2 linked regions of the Caenorhabditis elegans genome follow. The protein of the gene in region 1 purifies or fractionates together with the protein of each later gene. This does not show direct contact. Each region holds a gene or a part of one and is shown in the gene's direction. Other genes may lie near its edges.

Evidence for each region. Proteins that work in one complex are often made in the same cells at the same time.
Region 2: the proteins of ZK512.2 (region 1) and nola-3 fractionate together in Caenorhabditis elegans (co-fractionation; one large-scale study listed by BioGRID). This does not show direct contact.

The regions. Positions count from the first base shown.
Region 1 is NC_003281.10:9,140,521-9,148,875, reverse strand, and holds ZK512.2 (putative ATP-dependent RNA helicase DDX55 homolog), read left to right. Parts: upstream 1-4,081; 5' UTR 4,082-4,089; coding exon 4,090-4,197; exon of another isoform or gene 4,198-4,271; coding exon of another isoform or gene 4,272-4,469; intron 4,470-4,522; coding exon of another isoform or gene 4,523-4,657; exon of another isoform or gene 4,658-4,665; intron 4,666-4,876; coding exon 4,877-5,160; intron 5,161-5,481; coding exon 5,482-5,625; intron 5,626-5,673; coding exon 5,674-5,962; intron 5,963-6,004; coding exon 6,005-6,497; intron 6,498-6,546; coding exon 6,547-6,965; 3' UTR 6,966-7,127; downstream 7,128-8,355. Other genes in the region: RING finger protein nhl-1, read left to right, coding at 1-434, 726-851, 898-1,032, 1,079-1,270; ZK512.8 (uncharacterized protein), read right to left, coding at 1,531-1,612, 1,985-2,322, 2,698-2,793; ZK512.4 (Signal recognition particle 9 kDa protein), read right to left, coding at 2,980-3,133, 3,450-3,526; ZK512.11 (uncharacterized protein), read right to left, coding at 4,272-4,469, 4,523-4,657; putative vesicular glutamate transporter eat-4, read right to left, coding at 7,507-7,592, 7,646-8,020, 8,323-8,355. UniProt on the Caenorhabditis elegans protein: Probable ATP-binding RNA helicase.
Region 2 is NC_003279.8:10,174,818-10,182,267, forward strand, and holds nola-3 (Putative H/ACA ribonucleoprotein complex subunit 3), read left to right. Parts: upstream 1-4,224; coding exon 4,225-4,419; downstream 4,420-7,450. Other genes in the region: fath-1 (Fatty acid 2-hydroxylase), read left to right, coding at 2,372-2,473, 2,526-2,660, 2,709-2,812, 2,860-3,246, 3,295-3,452, 3,693-3,757; C25A1.16 (uncharacterized protein), read left to right, coding at 4,421-4,501, 4,550-4,701, 4,749-4,827; C25A1.20 (Proteasome assembly chaperone 3), read left to right, coding at 5,028-5,243, 5,290-5,371, 5,420-5,490; iars-2 (isoleucine--tRNA ligase), read left to right, coding at 5,432-5,490, 5,539-5,856, 5,903-6,196, 6,242-6,502, 6,551-6,791, 7,229-7,450. UniProt on the Caenorhabditis elegans protein: Required for ribosome biogenesis. Part of a complex which catalyzes pseudouridylation of rRNA. This involves the isomerization of uridine such that the ribose is subsequently attached to C5, instead of the normal N1.

The DNA.
Region 1 (8,355 bases):
AGCGTGGCCGCAGCGCTTCTCGTGAAGCTGGTGAATGGAGGGCTCGTGGTAGACCACGTGCAGTATTCGGACGAAAAGGTGCGAAGGATGGCGAGTTAAACTGGCCACGTGGAATTTGTGCATTGTCCGGAGGTCTTGTCGCAACTTGTGATTCGTCTAATCATCGTGTCTGTGTTTTCGATAAAGATGGAAAATTTGTTCGTCAGTTCGGAGGCTACGGTGCCGGTGCCGGACAACTTGATTCAGCTGCCGGGCTAGCAAGCTCAAAGCTCCGAGTTATTGTATCCGACAGGTACAATCATCGAATTTCCGTTTTTGGATTGGAAGGAGATCATTTGTTCTCATTCGGTGGACATGGACAGGGAAATGCTAAGTTCAATAATCCATGGGGAGTTGCTGTCGATGATTTGGGAAGTATCTATGTGGCTGATAAGGTAGGTCAACTATCATGAGACGTTTCTCAGTAATGCGAAAGTTCATAATTGTATACATTTTGATAAAAATTAACTTTGTTTATTAATTATCATCAAGAGAAGAACTTTGTTTTTGTAGATTCATATATTGCAGGCAAACCGGACGTCCGGTATTTTGAGTATCATTTTTTAATTTTTTTTTTTTTGGAAATTCGGACGCCGGACATTATTGTGGTCCGCTTTGCAGATCTAGATTAAATTTTAAAAAACATTGCCCCACATGCTAAAATACAAGTGAAGCTTAAATTATAGGATAATCACCGCGTCCAAGTCTTCGACAAAAATGGTCAATTCATTGCAAAATTCGGATCTTTCGGACATCTACCTGGTCAACTAAACAGTCCATTGTTCATAGCAGTTAGCAGAGTTACTCATCACGTGAGTGATTCCAGATAGATTCATGAATCATTCTGAATCGTTTCAGGTGTATGTATCAGATTCTTCGAATCATCGAATCAGCGTATTCGATCCCCACGGTGTTCATTTGTTTTCATTCGGCGAGGAAGGTTTTCATGGTGGACAATTCAAATTCCCACGTGGAATTGCTATTGATTCACAGGTAAGGCTGGAATGCTAAAGAAAAATTCTAAACCATTCATTTTCAGGAAAACCTAATAATCGCCGACTCCGGTAACAACAGGATCCAAGTTTTCGACGCCCAAGGTCAATTTGTCTCCTCTTTCGGAACTTGGGGTGGAGGAGCTGGACAACTGAAAGGTGTCGAAGATGTTTGTGTCACTGCTGACGGTTCAATTGTTGTCACCGATCGCGAGAATCATCGCATTCAGATCTTCTAAATTATGTTTTTTCGGGCCTTATTCTTGTTTCATTTTCAATTAAAATGTCTCCTTTGTAATTTTCTGTTATCGATACCGATGCCACCCAACTTTTTAGTGTTTTCATCTTTAGGTACAAAGCACTTTTACAAGTATTATTAATTATTATTACCCATTACGACTTTCGGTTTTAAAACACTTCTGTTTTCGAGTTTCAATAAAATATTTATTGAGAAAAAGGAAACATTCATTGGATTTCCGATTGCATTCGATTGTGGATTCTAAGCTTTGAAAGTGAAGAGGCAAGTTTGGCCAGCTGTTTGTTGGAAGACGGTGAAGCGCTCGTTGGCGGAAACTTCGTATCTGAAATTACAATAGCATTTATTAAATGAATGTTTGTATTAATCTAATTTTCTTATATTGGTTTCTACTTAGCTTTCTACGTACCTACTGTGCTGCCTAAAATTACTATACACCTAAATACATGTAGTAGGCCTACACGCATGCCTGCTAGGCCGGCAGGTGGTAGGCACGTATCAGTGAAAACGCGCTTGGATCCTATGAGAAGGTTAATGATACCGTGCAGAATTGACGAACAAATTTGTAAATTTTAGCTCTTATAACGGCCATGACATTGAGTTCACAGTGAGACCCATCCAAAAAATAGCATTTGCCTTTAAAGTGATGATTCCAGTTTTCACAAATTTACGATAATCCATGAGCTACATTAATCACCTCTTTCCACCTTCCTTCATCTTAGAAATTTTGAGAAGTCCACCCTTTCCAACATTGTACTCTTTTTCTGCCTCTGGAACTCCGCCCATCAACGTCATGATAGCTGGACTTCTGACAGGCAAGGAGCTGTTGGAATGAGCCGAAGTCACCGAAATCTCCTTCTTCATCATTGGTTGCTGGCCACGACGATTGTACGGATGCTTTGGAGCGTCTTTGTCGATGCGGCCACGCTTCAAAAGTGCAATTTCATCCATGAACTTGAATTCAGTTGGATTTGATGCCAACGACAAGTGCGTGCTCACTGGACTTTTTCCTTCGTCCGCAGGAATATCGACAGACTGAAATATTTTCTTCTTCATTAAGTTTTTCAACCACGTATTGTATGATACAGGTGCGAAACTTGGCAATTTTTTGCCTACAGCTCCTGGTCTCGGAGCGACAAATTGTTGTCAGATGCGGGAGGGTGTGCGCCTTTAAAGAGTACTGTAACTCCAAACTTCATCGATTATTGTTACCACTTATATTTTTAGTTTTTCAACAAATTAATAGTGTGTTGGAAAATCACTAAACATTCTGCAGCAACTAGACAAAATTACAGTACTCGTTAAAGGCGCACAACACTTTGCATTTAACAACAATTTGCCGCGTCGAGACCGGGCACCGTATTCCAAAAATCGGATTACAGCGCACACCAATAAAATAAATAAAATTACCTCTGCTCCATCAAAAGACACTGTCGGATAGTGTTGATCATTCTTGATTGAACGCGATTTACGATGCTTACGAGAGCTATCGTTCCGGTGAGACATTATTTCTTTGTCAAGCTAGAGGAATAAATTCAAACTGAATTTATTGATTTTTAAAGCTTTGGTTTATTTTTCTATCTGTAGTGTTGAAGTTCAAGTTCACGTATTTGAAAAACAATTTCATTCAATAAATATAAACTTTTTTTATTTAAATACTTAATTAAACCATAAACATAAAACAAAGCGTGTTTATTGAGTGACAATACCGCGAAGCAGGGTCGATGACAACTTCTCCAACTTTTTTACATCCTGCAATTGATTCGTACTGTATTGAAGGCAGACCACGTCATCGGTGAGCTTCAGCACGAGCTGTCCCTTTGTGTGGTTGTACTTGGTGACGAATCTGAAAATCAAAGTTTAGTTGTCACTAAAACTTTTGGAAATCTCCATGAGGAATGTTTTAGGGGATTTTTATTTAAATTCAGCTGAATATGCCATAAATAACAAAGAAACTACAAAAAAGTTGGTTGCAGAAATATCGACAAAAAGATTTTCCAGGAAATAATCCTTTAGTAATTTATGTTTCTCACGAATAAAAATTATTGATAAAATTGATTTTCTTTCGCTTTTCTATTTTATGTAAATATCGCACATTTAAGTAATCTATAACATTTTTCAATCCCGAAAGTGACGGTTTTTTTAAAATATTACGAACTAACCTGCATTTCTCCGGATTGGCACTATGAAGCCTTTCAGCAGCTTTTGCAAATTCGTCCCAGCTTGTGAAGTATGTCATTGTTTCGAATCTGAAAAAAAACTTGATTTATAAGTATGGAAGTATTTGAATAAGTAATGAGCGCAGAAAAGAAGGAAAGACGATTTTGGAGATTACTAACAAATAATATTATTAAAATATTCAAGTCAATTAATTCATAAATTCACTAGTAAAATAGTATTATTAAATTTTAATATTAAATAAAATGCTTAAAACATAATTTGTTGCCGGCCACATTTCAAGTGTCGTAAGATTCACTGCACTGGACGCAGAGATGCAATGCCGGTGTTTGCGTACTTTTCGAATTAATTTTTTTTGCTGAATTTTAAGAATTTTTAGATAATCTTTCTTATTCCTTAATAGTTTTGAATGGGTTTTAGTCTTATAATTAAGTGAGATTTCAATCTAATTTTTTCAACAGCTTTCGTATTTGAAAATTAACTAATTTTCATAGGAATTGACGGAATACTAAATATTTTCCTTGTTTGCTTTAATTAATTACTTCTAATGAATTTATCTTCTTATTAAACGTTTTCTCCGTTTAAAATATCTTTCCCAACCTTTATCTTTTTTCAGCCGTCAAAATGACATCAAAAGTGGGTCCAGTAGCCTTGAAAACGTTCCGCGAGAAGCTCGGCCCGGAACTGCTCGAAGTATTCGATAAAAGTTACAAATCGTTCACAGATGTACAAGTAAGTTTATAATAGTTTATTTGATCGAAGTGAAATTATATCAAGTGAGGAAATGTCCAAAATTTCCAAAGTAATCAATCCTTCTTCAATTTCGCATCCTTTTTTGCATCGTCCCAAGGAAATCTGAACGGATGAGCAGGTGTCATATCTCTCCATTCTCTATCTATATCGATATCGTATTCTTTAATTTTAACGTTAAAGCATTTTGCCATCACTATCACAAATATAACTGCCACAAGAACCACGAGAAAAGCAAACACGTAGAAAGTTTCCTGAAATTAAAATAATGTTTTTAATTAAACATTTTCCACTTAAAATCCAATACCTCATCAAACAACTCGTTGAATGTTGGAACTGCTTGATTCATCTGATGAACAACGTCCAACATTAATCGAGTTTTCCCATTTTTTCGCTTCCCTTGATAATAATACGCTCCCCAGTCCTGTTTCGGTTTGTTCATTCTCTAAAATCAAGAATATAAAATAAAAATGTTTGAAATATACAAGAAAAAGCATAGCATAAAATGGGTCAGAAGGGTGGGAGAAAGGATATTGATCGGGAGTTAGAGAGACGCAGACATGAGAGCAAAGGAGGAGTGTGCTCTCCTCAAAGCTGAGGAAAAAGCCATTTGATGTAGAAAGTAGTAGGAATGCATCTTTATTTAATTATCCAATTTCAGGTTCTCTCTGGAACACATCTCCTTAACCTGTCTGATGTTGTCGTTGAATCTCCAACTGGATCTGGAAAGACTCTTGCTTTCGTTTTACCAATGATGAGAATGATTCAAAATGCAAAACTTCAGCCTGCTGACATTGGAGCACTTATTCTATCGCCTTCAAGAGAGCTCTGCAGTCAAATCGTTAGCGTAATTCAACCATTCGCAGAGAAACTCAATTTAACTGTGGAAACAGTTACTGGAGGACAGAAAGTGGACAAAAATATCAAGATGTTCAAGAATAAAAAGTATGTTCGTATTTTTATGCGGAGTAAAAGATGAATTACAAAAAGTTCGCCAAAAAAAGCGAATTTCTTAATGAGACCTCAAAAAATTTCCATCATTTTTATGACGGTTTGAAAAATCGAAGAAAAAATCGAAAGTTATAGCAAAAATTAGTTTTTTTTTTTAGTTTTTGAGCTGCAAAAATATGACATTTTTTGGCAAATCTCATCATGAAATTCATTTATTTTTGCACATTTTGTATGTATCTACACACTCAAAAAACGTCCTCCTCTAACAGTTTGTGGAAAATAAAATATTCCCATTTTAATTTCTGCATTTTCCAGTGTCAACATTCTTGTCGCCACTCCCGGACGTCTTTTCCAAATAATTCAACACGAGAAGACCCTTATTGCTCGAAAAATGAGAACTCTTCAACTCCTCGTCATTGATGAAGCGGATAGATTTAATGAAATTCAGTTTGAGGATCAGTAAGTTTATTGAAGAACATATTCAGGCTTAAAATTGATTTTTTACAGTATGCGAGAGATTCTCTCATGTATCCCAAAGCAACGTCGTACCGGATTGTTCTCTGCTACTCAGGTTAAGGAAGAAGATGATTTGATGGTTTTTGGTTTGCGTAACGCAAAGCAAGTGAAAGTGGCTCAAGAGAGGAACTCGGCCGCACCTTCAACGTTGAAGAATTATTATGTCGAATGTCGAGCTGATGAGAAAACGAGTGTCTGTTTGGAGTTTATTCGCCAGAGAACGGATAAAAAGATTCTTATCTTCTTTCCTTCGTGCAATTCAGTTAGATATTTTTACAAGGTATATTCAATTTTAATGGAGATTATTATTAATATTATTCAGATTTTTGAAAGATGTCTTGGTAAACGCCCATTGTTCGCAGTTCATGGAAAATGCTCAAACCCACACCGTGCATCTCAAATCAAAGCATTCTCGGATAGCACCAATGGAGTTATGATTTCAACTGATGTGATGGCACGAGGAATTGATATCTCGGATATTGACTGGGTCATTCAGTTCGATCTTCCAAAACATTCCAGTTGGTTTGTCCATCGAGCCGGCCGAACAGCCAGATGTGGTCGTGAAGGAAATGCTCTTATTCTCATCGCTTCGGAACAGTTGGCCTATGTGAATTTCCTTGATAACCACGAGAAAGTAAAGCTTGATGAGATCAAAGTTCCAACTAACAATTCGAGAAAATCGGAAGAGCTGAGACAGAAAATGATCAAAATTCAAGTTTCTGATCGTGCAATTCTAGAAGCTGGAACTCGTGCATTTGTGAGTCACGTGGAGTCATATGCCAAACACGATTGTCATCTCATTTGCTCACTTGATGGTAGGTTATGCAAAATATATAATACAACGCTGAAATAATAAGTTTACAGATCTCAACGTGGTCGGTCTTGCCAATTCGTACGCTCTTCTCAGATTGCCGAAAATGCGTGAACTGTCACAAAGAAAAGATTTGGATATGTTCGACAGAAGTGCCATCGAGACATCTGAAATCAAATACGCCGATGTTAAACTAGAAGCCAATCGGGAAACTGTGATGAAAGAAAAGCACGAGAAGAAGGTCGAGACGTTGGCTGCAAAGGATAAGAAGCGCCGTGAGAAGGAGGCTAGAAAACTGAAGAAGATGGGTGGAAGGTTCAGAAATGGTGGTGGAACTGGTAGAAAAGCAGAGGAGAAGAAGGCTTTGAAGAGAAAGGCCGAAGAAGAAGATGATGCTCAAAATGATATCCGATTGTTGAAGAGAATCAAGAGAGGAAAGTTGAGCAAGAAGGAAATCAAGGATGTTCTTTAAATTGTTTTTTGTTTCTTTATTACTTTTTGTTTTCTTTTTTGTTATTGTCTTGTTATCACTGTTTTTCGTTTTCATAAATGAACGTTTTAAAATGAAAAATCAATTTATTGCAGAACGATATGAGATCGCAAGAAGAATTAAATAAAAAAGTTTCAATCGCAACTGATTCTTGCTTTTGTATTATCCAGATGCTAATTTAGCGAATTTTGCTCCAGGGTCTCGAAGCGATCGATTTTTTGAATCTCAAAATAGCGTGCGCCTTTAAGTACTGTAGTTGCTAAAGTTTTTCTCCCGTTGCTTCAAAAAAATTTGTTTCAATAAATTTGAAAAAACGGGTGAAAAGACGTTAGCAACTACAGGAATCCTTGAAGATGTTGTAAGTTTGAGAAAATCGATCGCTTTGAGACCTGGTATTGTAGTTCTGGTTTTTCGCAACTAGGCAATAGAACTTAAGTTAACATAAGATATTAGGAATAACTGAGAGAATTAAATAAATAAATTAAAATTTTTAGAAGGTATCCTAACTAGACGTTATTTATCACTACCACTGCTGATAATGCGGATTTTCCACAACTCCAGAGGATCCATGTTCATCCCAAGCTGAAGCGAACGGGTTGGTTCCAGGAGCTGTAAATTTTCAAATTTTATGAGCTCATAAGTTTATAACTGTTCAAGTTTACCTGGAGCCGCCTGAGCTTGATAAGAAGAATCAACACCGGCTGGTAACTGTGTGAATGTAGTCTCAGCAGCTCCGTATCCAGTTCCATTGATTCCAGTTTTATTCACCAATTCCTTATTCGACCATTCTTCCTCCTCTTTTGGTTCTGCCCATTCTTGAAGTTCTCCGGAAGCATAGACAGCATAAAAAGTGACTCCAGTAAAGTGAATAAGACTGGCTAATAAGAAAACACTCGTCCATCCGTGTTTCGAGTGAGCAGTGAATGCTTCAGTCACAAATGGGCAAGTTAATCCGGCAAGTGTTCCGATTCCATTCGAGAATCCCATTAGGATGGCTGCATAACGGGGAGCAATGTCCAAATGATTTACGTTGAAACCTAAAATTACAGATTGTAAGGCAGAGTCCATGGACACTATATTACGACTTTTGCAACAAAAATACGGTAATTTGATTTCCTTTACTGTATCGTCTAGAAATGTCATAATCTCTGCATCTTTGAAACTTTGAAACTATTTTATACGAAAAGTTACAAAAATTGATCTACTGACGTTTTTCTTTATCAAGGTTTCGATGTTTCAAAAATCAGATGATCATCGTAATAGTCAGAGGAAGTATACGTAGTATCTCTCGATAAACTTCCGCATTGTAATTCTGCAAAAACTGCAAAAACTGACATACCAGAAATAGCAAATCCAGACATTCCAACAGCAG
Region 2 (7,450 bases), on another chromosome or scaffold:
ATGTTTGCATGATCTTCATCTCTAGACTGTACTCTCCGAATTTATCCATCTTCCCAAAAAGTCCACTCTCTGCCTCTCTGTCTCCCTCTCTGCACACAGTGATTCGCACGTTTTTACGAAACTAACACGGCGCCGGCTTATCATCATATAATGGCTAGGCAGGTTTTATATGTTCAGACGCAATATATGAGTGACACTCTGACTCATTTTATGCCTTTCTTGAAGCAAACATTTTCAATTTCGCGTTTCTTTTTTTTTCCTTTTCTTCGACGCCGCGTCGTATTCTTCTCAACTAAATTAGTTTCCCGTCGAATGAGTTTCCTTCTTACTCTTTGAAAATAAGAAGACAATGCGGTGGTTTCTATGGTTTAACTGCATGGCTCCAAGAGTCCAAGTCCATTCTTTTGTGTATGTTTGTCAATGGTTACAAAGTTCTCGTCTCGTTTCCCGCGCGCTCAGTGTTTTCCTTCCGTCGCCCAGAGAAGCTTAAAAGCCTCTCTTGAGCTGGAGGAGCACACGCCGCCGCCGGCTCCGCACTCCTCGCAATTTTGGAAATTGCATGAGCCTCTTCTTTCCTTCCTTCCTTTCCCGCCACGCCCCTTTCCTCCCCCGTTTTCCATTTCATCGAACTGACTGACGGGAGAGGAAGGATGGACGATAGACGGGGTGGCAAAATATTCAACCCCATTGTTTGCCCCCGTTTCTGACGAAGAGCCCGTGCACATACATAGGCTCGCACTCTCATTCCGCACATTTTATCTCGTTGAATTCAATTCAATTAGGTCACTTGCTCTAGTTTGCTCTTTCAATCTCTACTCTTTTAACCCGGGTGCTATGATACTTTAAATCAAACTTCCATCACCTTCCATATAGATTAACTCTTCAGATTCCACACTAACATCCTTAAAAATTACAAAAATATTTAAATGCTCCAGAATGACATCCTGGACAATTTTTGAATATTTCATCCTCAGCGTCTGCCATCTCCGCTTAAATAGGAAAAGGCTCACACAATTTGCAAATATATATTTATAAAGGCTCGGTTTATTTGAGATGGCACATTTTTCATTAAGTATTCGTACCAACGGGCACAATTGTGCCCGATTTGTGTCTAGAAAAACTAGGAAAATCGTGGGAAAATGACAGTTTGTTTGCCAGAAAACTCTTCAGTCTTCTATATAATCGTAGTTGTGGTAGTTCCAAAACTTGTGTTTTCATATATTTTAACTCGTATTTTAACTGCTGCAAGATTTCTAAATTAAATTATATTAAACCGAGAAATTTCGAAGCTCAGAAACTATGATTACTTGAGGCAGATATGTCTCAATTGTTCCAATGTTTTTAACTAGACTCAGGCCAACACAAAGACCAAGTGCAACATATCAAAATTACACATTTGATGTCCAATGCACATGTTTCAAATTTGCTCAGAAACCCTTCACCTTCATCTCCTGCTCCACCACCCACCTCTCTTGTGTCGGCTCTCTCCTATGCTATTATATGTATGTGCTCTGAATCCCTTGCAGAATTCATGTAATACTATGTTTTCCCGTTTCGTCTACTTGCTTCCCTTTTCTTTCGGTGTTGATTTACCTAATTAAATGAGAACCTACGTGCATTTCCTGCTCCGACTCAGAGAGAGAGAGAAATTATTCAATATAGCAATGTAGCAGAGATTTTTATTCTATTTTCAGTTGTTTTCAAGTATTTCCAGCTATCAATCATCACTTTTCTGAAGCAGGTGAATACTGAAAAACAATCCATTCTGCAATCTCGTTATACCTTTTTTGATTCGAACAGCTCCTTCACTCGTGATATTATGAGGACGCAGAAACATGATACGCTCCGCCCCCAAACCATGGGTCTCGTTAGGTATTTGACGGAAAAACCTTCAATCGAAACGTTTTAATAGTGTTTTTCGTTTTTTTATTATGTTGTTTTTAAAGATTTTGATGCTGAAATTCTGACATGAATTTTTAGTCAAATGAAACAACATTAATTTCTTAAACAAGAAATCTTTAAAATCAACTTAAAACATAACAAAAATTTTTTAATATGAAACTAATTGAAAAACGTCTGAATTAATGAGTTCTGCCGCCAACTTCCTACCGAGACCCATGGCCCGGAGGCGGCGCGCTTTGCACTTCAATTTGAATAGGTATTTTTTCTGCGTCCCCATAATATACCCTAACCTCAATTCATATGGCTGCTTTTCTTGACCGGAAAATGACGTTTTCTGGTGAATGTGCTCATTTCCTTTTGCTACTTATTTTTCTACTATGAGATCATGATCATATTGCTTTCCCCGTTTCATATTTTCTATATTTATAACGTTTCGTAATTTATAATTTTCTATATTTCAGTGGAAAATATGGGGATAGGAGCAGATGAGAAGAAGCCGTTGCTAGTACAACTCGACGGGCAATATTATGACATTGCTGATTTTGCGCCTAAACATCCGGGAGGTGCCAAGGTAACTTTTTTTCAAGTTTTAGGATATTTTACTAATCTCAAACTTTTTATAGGTTCTGAATCGTTTGGCTGGAGAAGAAATTGGAGAATTTATCAGAGGAGAAAAAAGGATAATGGGTGTACGTCATGAGCACTCGGAAGCCGCTTATAATATGCTCGAGAGATATAATGTGAATGCAATTCAAAAAGTTCGTTCCTTCCATCAAATCTAATTATTAATATTTCTAAAATTCTAGGGTGATCCATTGATTGAGTCTAAATCCGGAATGCTTTTCAAAGTTGGATCTCTTGGCTCTGAATATTGGCATTGGATTCATCAACCATATGATGGAACTTTAAGGTATTGATGATCTCGACTTTTCAATGCAAATTTTCACTTTTTTTCAGACTTTTCGATTCGGATGTGTTGGAAAGCATGACAAGAACAGCTTGGTGGGTGGTCCCTGCTGTTTGGATGCCGATCGTCATTACTTTTTCTATCCTCTCAGTGCTCTCATTTTCAACATCCACCGATGTTTATAACTCGATTCTCCTGTGGTCTGCCTGGTTCGTCATTGGAGTTTTGACATGGACTCTCACTGAATACAGTCTTCATCGATGGGTTTTCCATTGGAAGCCGTCTCCAGATTCGCCGAATCAGATTCTTCTTCATTTCTTGGCTCATGGACTTCACCATAAAACACCGATGGACGGAGACCGCCTTGTGTTCCCTCCGGTTCCAGCTACTTTGATTGTTGGAATTTTCTATTTAATCTACTCCAATACCTTCCAATGGTCAGTATTAAACCTTTCCTGGTTCCCATATTCAGTTAATCGTTTTAGGCCAGTGTTTTGCGCGTTTGGCGCTGGAAAGTTATTTGGATATGTAACCTACGATATGGTACACTATTATTTACATCACGGAAGTCCTCGTCCACGCAGCAATTTACATTTTAGAAAAGTATATCATCATAATCACCACTTCAAAAACTTTGACGTCGGTAAGTTACATTTAACGGGATTTTGTTTAAAAATCAATTTTTAATTTGTTATTTTTAAGTCAAGAACATTAAAAACTGTTTTTTAATTGAGATTTTCTATAATCTGCAAATTGTCGTGAAATATAATGTTCTCTGACGGAAAATTACACAGATTTGCGATGGAGCGCGTTTGCACTTTCATTTTCGCAATCGAAATTTTTCTATCATTTTCCCTATTTCAGGCCTATTTTCATTTTTCAGGCTTCGGAATTTCGACTTCTCTTTGGGATTATGTTTTCCACACACTCGGAATGGGCCCATTATAATAATACATAGATGTTTTTTCGGAAAATTTGTTGTTTATTGAGTGAACTCTGCCTCACGTTTTTTATCTCTAAGTCTCTTGTCCCGATTCACTTTTCTCACGATCCACTATACCCGTTGTACATATATATTTATCGATTTACCTTTTCTTTTCTCGTACGCCAGATTAGTTCAACTTGTTTTCACATTTTATCTATATAGATCAGCTACTCAGCACGTGCCTATTATCCTCACTTCTTACCGGTTTCCATCAAACATTTTGTGATATTCCTTCTTGTTTTGTTTTCTTTCTGTTATGCGTGAAATTTGGAATAATTTTTAAAAATATCTAATGAAATCACCCCTTCATTCTTTCTCGCTAATTCTTTTTTTCGTTGCAATGCGCCGTATTTATTTCATATTTCTCTATAGTTTCAGAAGTTTTAGAAATCATTGATAGTTTCAGAACTCAGTCTACTTTCAACGGACAATGTTCTTGAGATACTTCTTGGACGAGAACCAACAAAGAGTGTACACTTTGAAGAGAACTGCTCCATCTGGAGAGCAAACTCTTACCGCTCATCCAGCTCGCTTTTCGCCGGAAGACAAGAACTCCAAATATCGCATCATCATCAAGAAGCGCTTCGGACTCTTGCCAACCCAGAAGGCAAAGACCGTTTGCTAAAATGCTGGTTTGGGAGTGGCGCCGCATGTTGCGGCAAAAAATCCGCTCTTTCACCCCCAATAAACCTATCAATTATCAACAGGTAATTTACAAATCTCGCATTTTTCCAAACGATATTTTATAATTTCAGGTGTCTCGTCGTCGTATCATCGTCTCTTTTGTTCTTTTCTTCGTTGGATGGAAAGCTTTTGGTTATACTCTCAACGATATGTTCCTTTGGACTGTCGATGAGCAAACTATGCAAGGTCGCTTTTTAACTCCACAAGAAGGCAAAGATCGAAGGTTTGTGTAAATTGAAAAAATCATTGATAATATTTTCATGGTTTCAGAGAGGCCCTAGAACGACAACGAGATCCCAAGTTACGCATCAAACCCCCAATTGTTTCGAAATACGATCTTGACGACTAGCTTTTAGTCTTTTTTCCACCGTTTTCTCTTATTCTTTTTGTACTATTCTTGTTGTTTTCTTCTCATTGTTGTTGTCTCTCAAATAAAGTATGAAATGTTGAAAAAGTGAGGAATTGTATTGCAAGTTGAATCCTCATTACAAATACTTCAGGTTTAAATTAGATTTCTTCGAATTTGATTCTGTCAGGTTTACAGGGTTGATGAGTTTCAAAGATTTTTCTTTCGAGTTCAACGGAGAACCAATTCACTTTTCGATAACCTCGCATCCCGACAAAGATCTTGTGCACTTCAATTCAACAGGAAGAATCGGACAAGTAATCGAAGTTATTCAGCCACCAGAGATTCTATCTAGCCAGCTCTCCGATCAACAAAGAGTCGAATACGAGTTGAAGAGCTTGCTGGGAAATCCTGAATTGGTATGAATAGATGATTTTGATGTTGAAACGGTTCAATTCTTTACAGCCCGGCGTTGAGTTATTCATTCGTAGATTTGTGATCCATTTCGCAGGAACAAACCAGAGGAAGAGTGCTCTTTTTGTTTTCGGTAAATCTTGAAATAGTAAATAGTTTTTTACAATCAATTTTTCTATAGGAATCGATCTTGATGGCATCCCGAACGAATGCATTGCAGCCGCTTTGCAAGCCCTCGAAGAGAATCATTAGGTGAAAACAATAAATAATCATAAATAATCTATTCAAAGATTTTTCCAGTAACTCTCTCACACATCTTTCCTCGTCATCCACGTCGTCTGAAACTCCCAATAAGAAAAAATCAACAGTATTTTTACCTTCTTCTTCATTTATCAATCATATCAAGTCAACTGAACGCTCGTCTTCCGATCAGAAAGCAGCGAGTGATGGTGGACTCAACGACTTGTATTCCTGGCAAAAAGCTGCTCGAAAAGATTCAGAAATATTCGAACTTCTCGATGGTCCACCATATGCAAACGGAGAAGCTCACACGGGTCATGCTATCAATAAGATTTTGAAAGATTTCGTTGTGAAGAGTAGAATTGCGTTGGGATATAGGTATGAATAATTACAATTAGTAATTCCACTTTAATTTAAATTTCAGAGTACTCTTCCGTCCTGGATGGGATTGTCACGGACTTCCGATTGAGTTAAAAATAGGAAAACAGCAAGGAAATGCTGGTTCACGAACACCATTGGAAACACGCGCTGCTGCTCGAATCGTTGCAGATGAAGCCATCGGAAAGCAAATGAATGCATTCAGAAGATGGGGTGTTACTGCTGACTGGGAGAAACCGTATGTGACGAAAAGTCCAAGTTACGTGGCGGCTCAGTTGGACATTTTTGCAAAGCTTGTGGAGCAGAAGCTGGTGTATAGATCCTTCAAACCGGTCTATTGGTACGTTTCGCAAGTTATCTCGAATATAATTTTCTTCGTTTTTAGGTCACCGAGCTCAAATACAGCTCTTGCTGAATCAGAGCTAGAATACAATGATAAACATCAAAGTACAAGCGCTTATTTCCGATTCAAGCTGATCAACTTCTCATCATCTGATGTCATTTGGGCTCATTCTGAACCTTCCAAGATTTCTCAATTCTTCGCATTGATTTGGACTACAACTCCATGGACTCTTCCACTTAACAACGCAATTTCCGTGTCCTCTGCTATTCAGTATTCCTTGATTCAATTTGATAATGAAATCAAGTATGAGAATTGAAATCCTATATTTAGAATAAAATAAAGTTCTTTCAGCAATCCAACTTCCACATTCTATGTCATCGCTTCTAAATTGCTCGAAGAATTCCAAAAATCAAGTGATCGAAAGTGTAAAGTTGTTGGAACAGTGAAACCTGCGAATTTGATCGGAAGACGATACAAAAGCTGTTGGCACAATGAACTTGGTCTTCCAATATACGAAGGTCCACACGTTACGGATACAGTTGGAACTGGCTTAGTGCACACAGCATTTGCACATGGATTCCAGGATTATGATGTAGGTGGAATAAGGAAATTATATATATACCAGCCGTGGACCGCACCTACGGCGCGGCCCCCGACTTTTTCGAGAGACGCCGAACACGGGGTGTCAGAAAGTCTCATTGCGGTTTGATCTACAAAAAATGCGGGAATTTTTTCCCAGAAAATTTGTGACGTAAGCACACTGTTAACCATGCGAAATCAGTTGAGATGTCTACGTCTCACCTCCCGCATTTTTCGTAGATCAAAGCGAAAAGGGACCGTCTGACTCCACGTGGCCGAAGACATTCAGTGTCTATCGCGGACCTCGATCAATGTCGGCTGCATATTTACCATAAGGCCGGGAACTTCCAGTTGCTTCGAGATCAAAGGTCAAACTACATAGGGATAGACATTAGCGCTTTATTTATAGTAAATGATTTATTATTATTGAAATGTTATCTTTTATTTCAGGTTGCTATATCAAAAGGAGACCGAGTAGAAAGTTTCGTAGATTCTCGTGGATGTTATACCAGACACCTTGGTCATGATCTAGATGGTAAAGAAGTGCTGGGAGAAGGCCAAAAGATTGCTCTTCGGCTGTTGAATCATGATATTGTTCATGTATCGAAGCATGTTCATTCATATCCTTATGACTGGAGAACGAAGAAGCCAGTGATCATTCGAAGCAGTGAA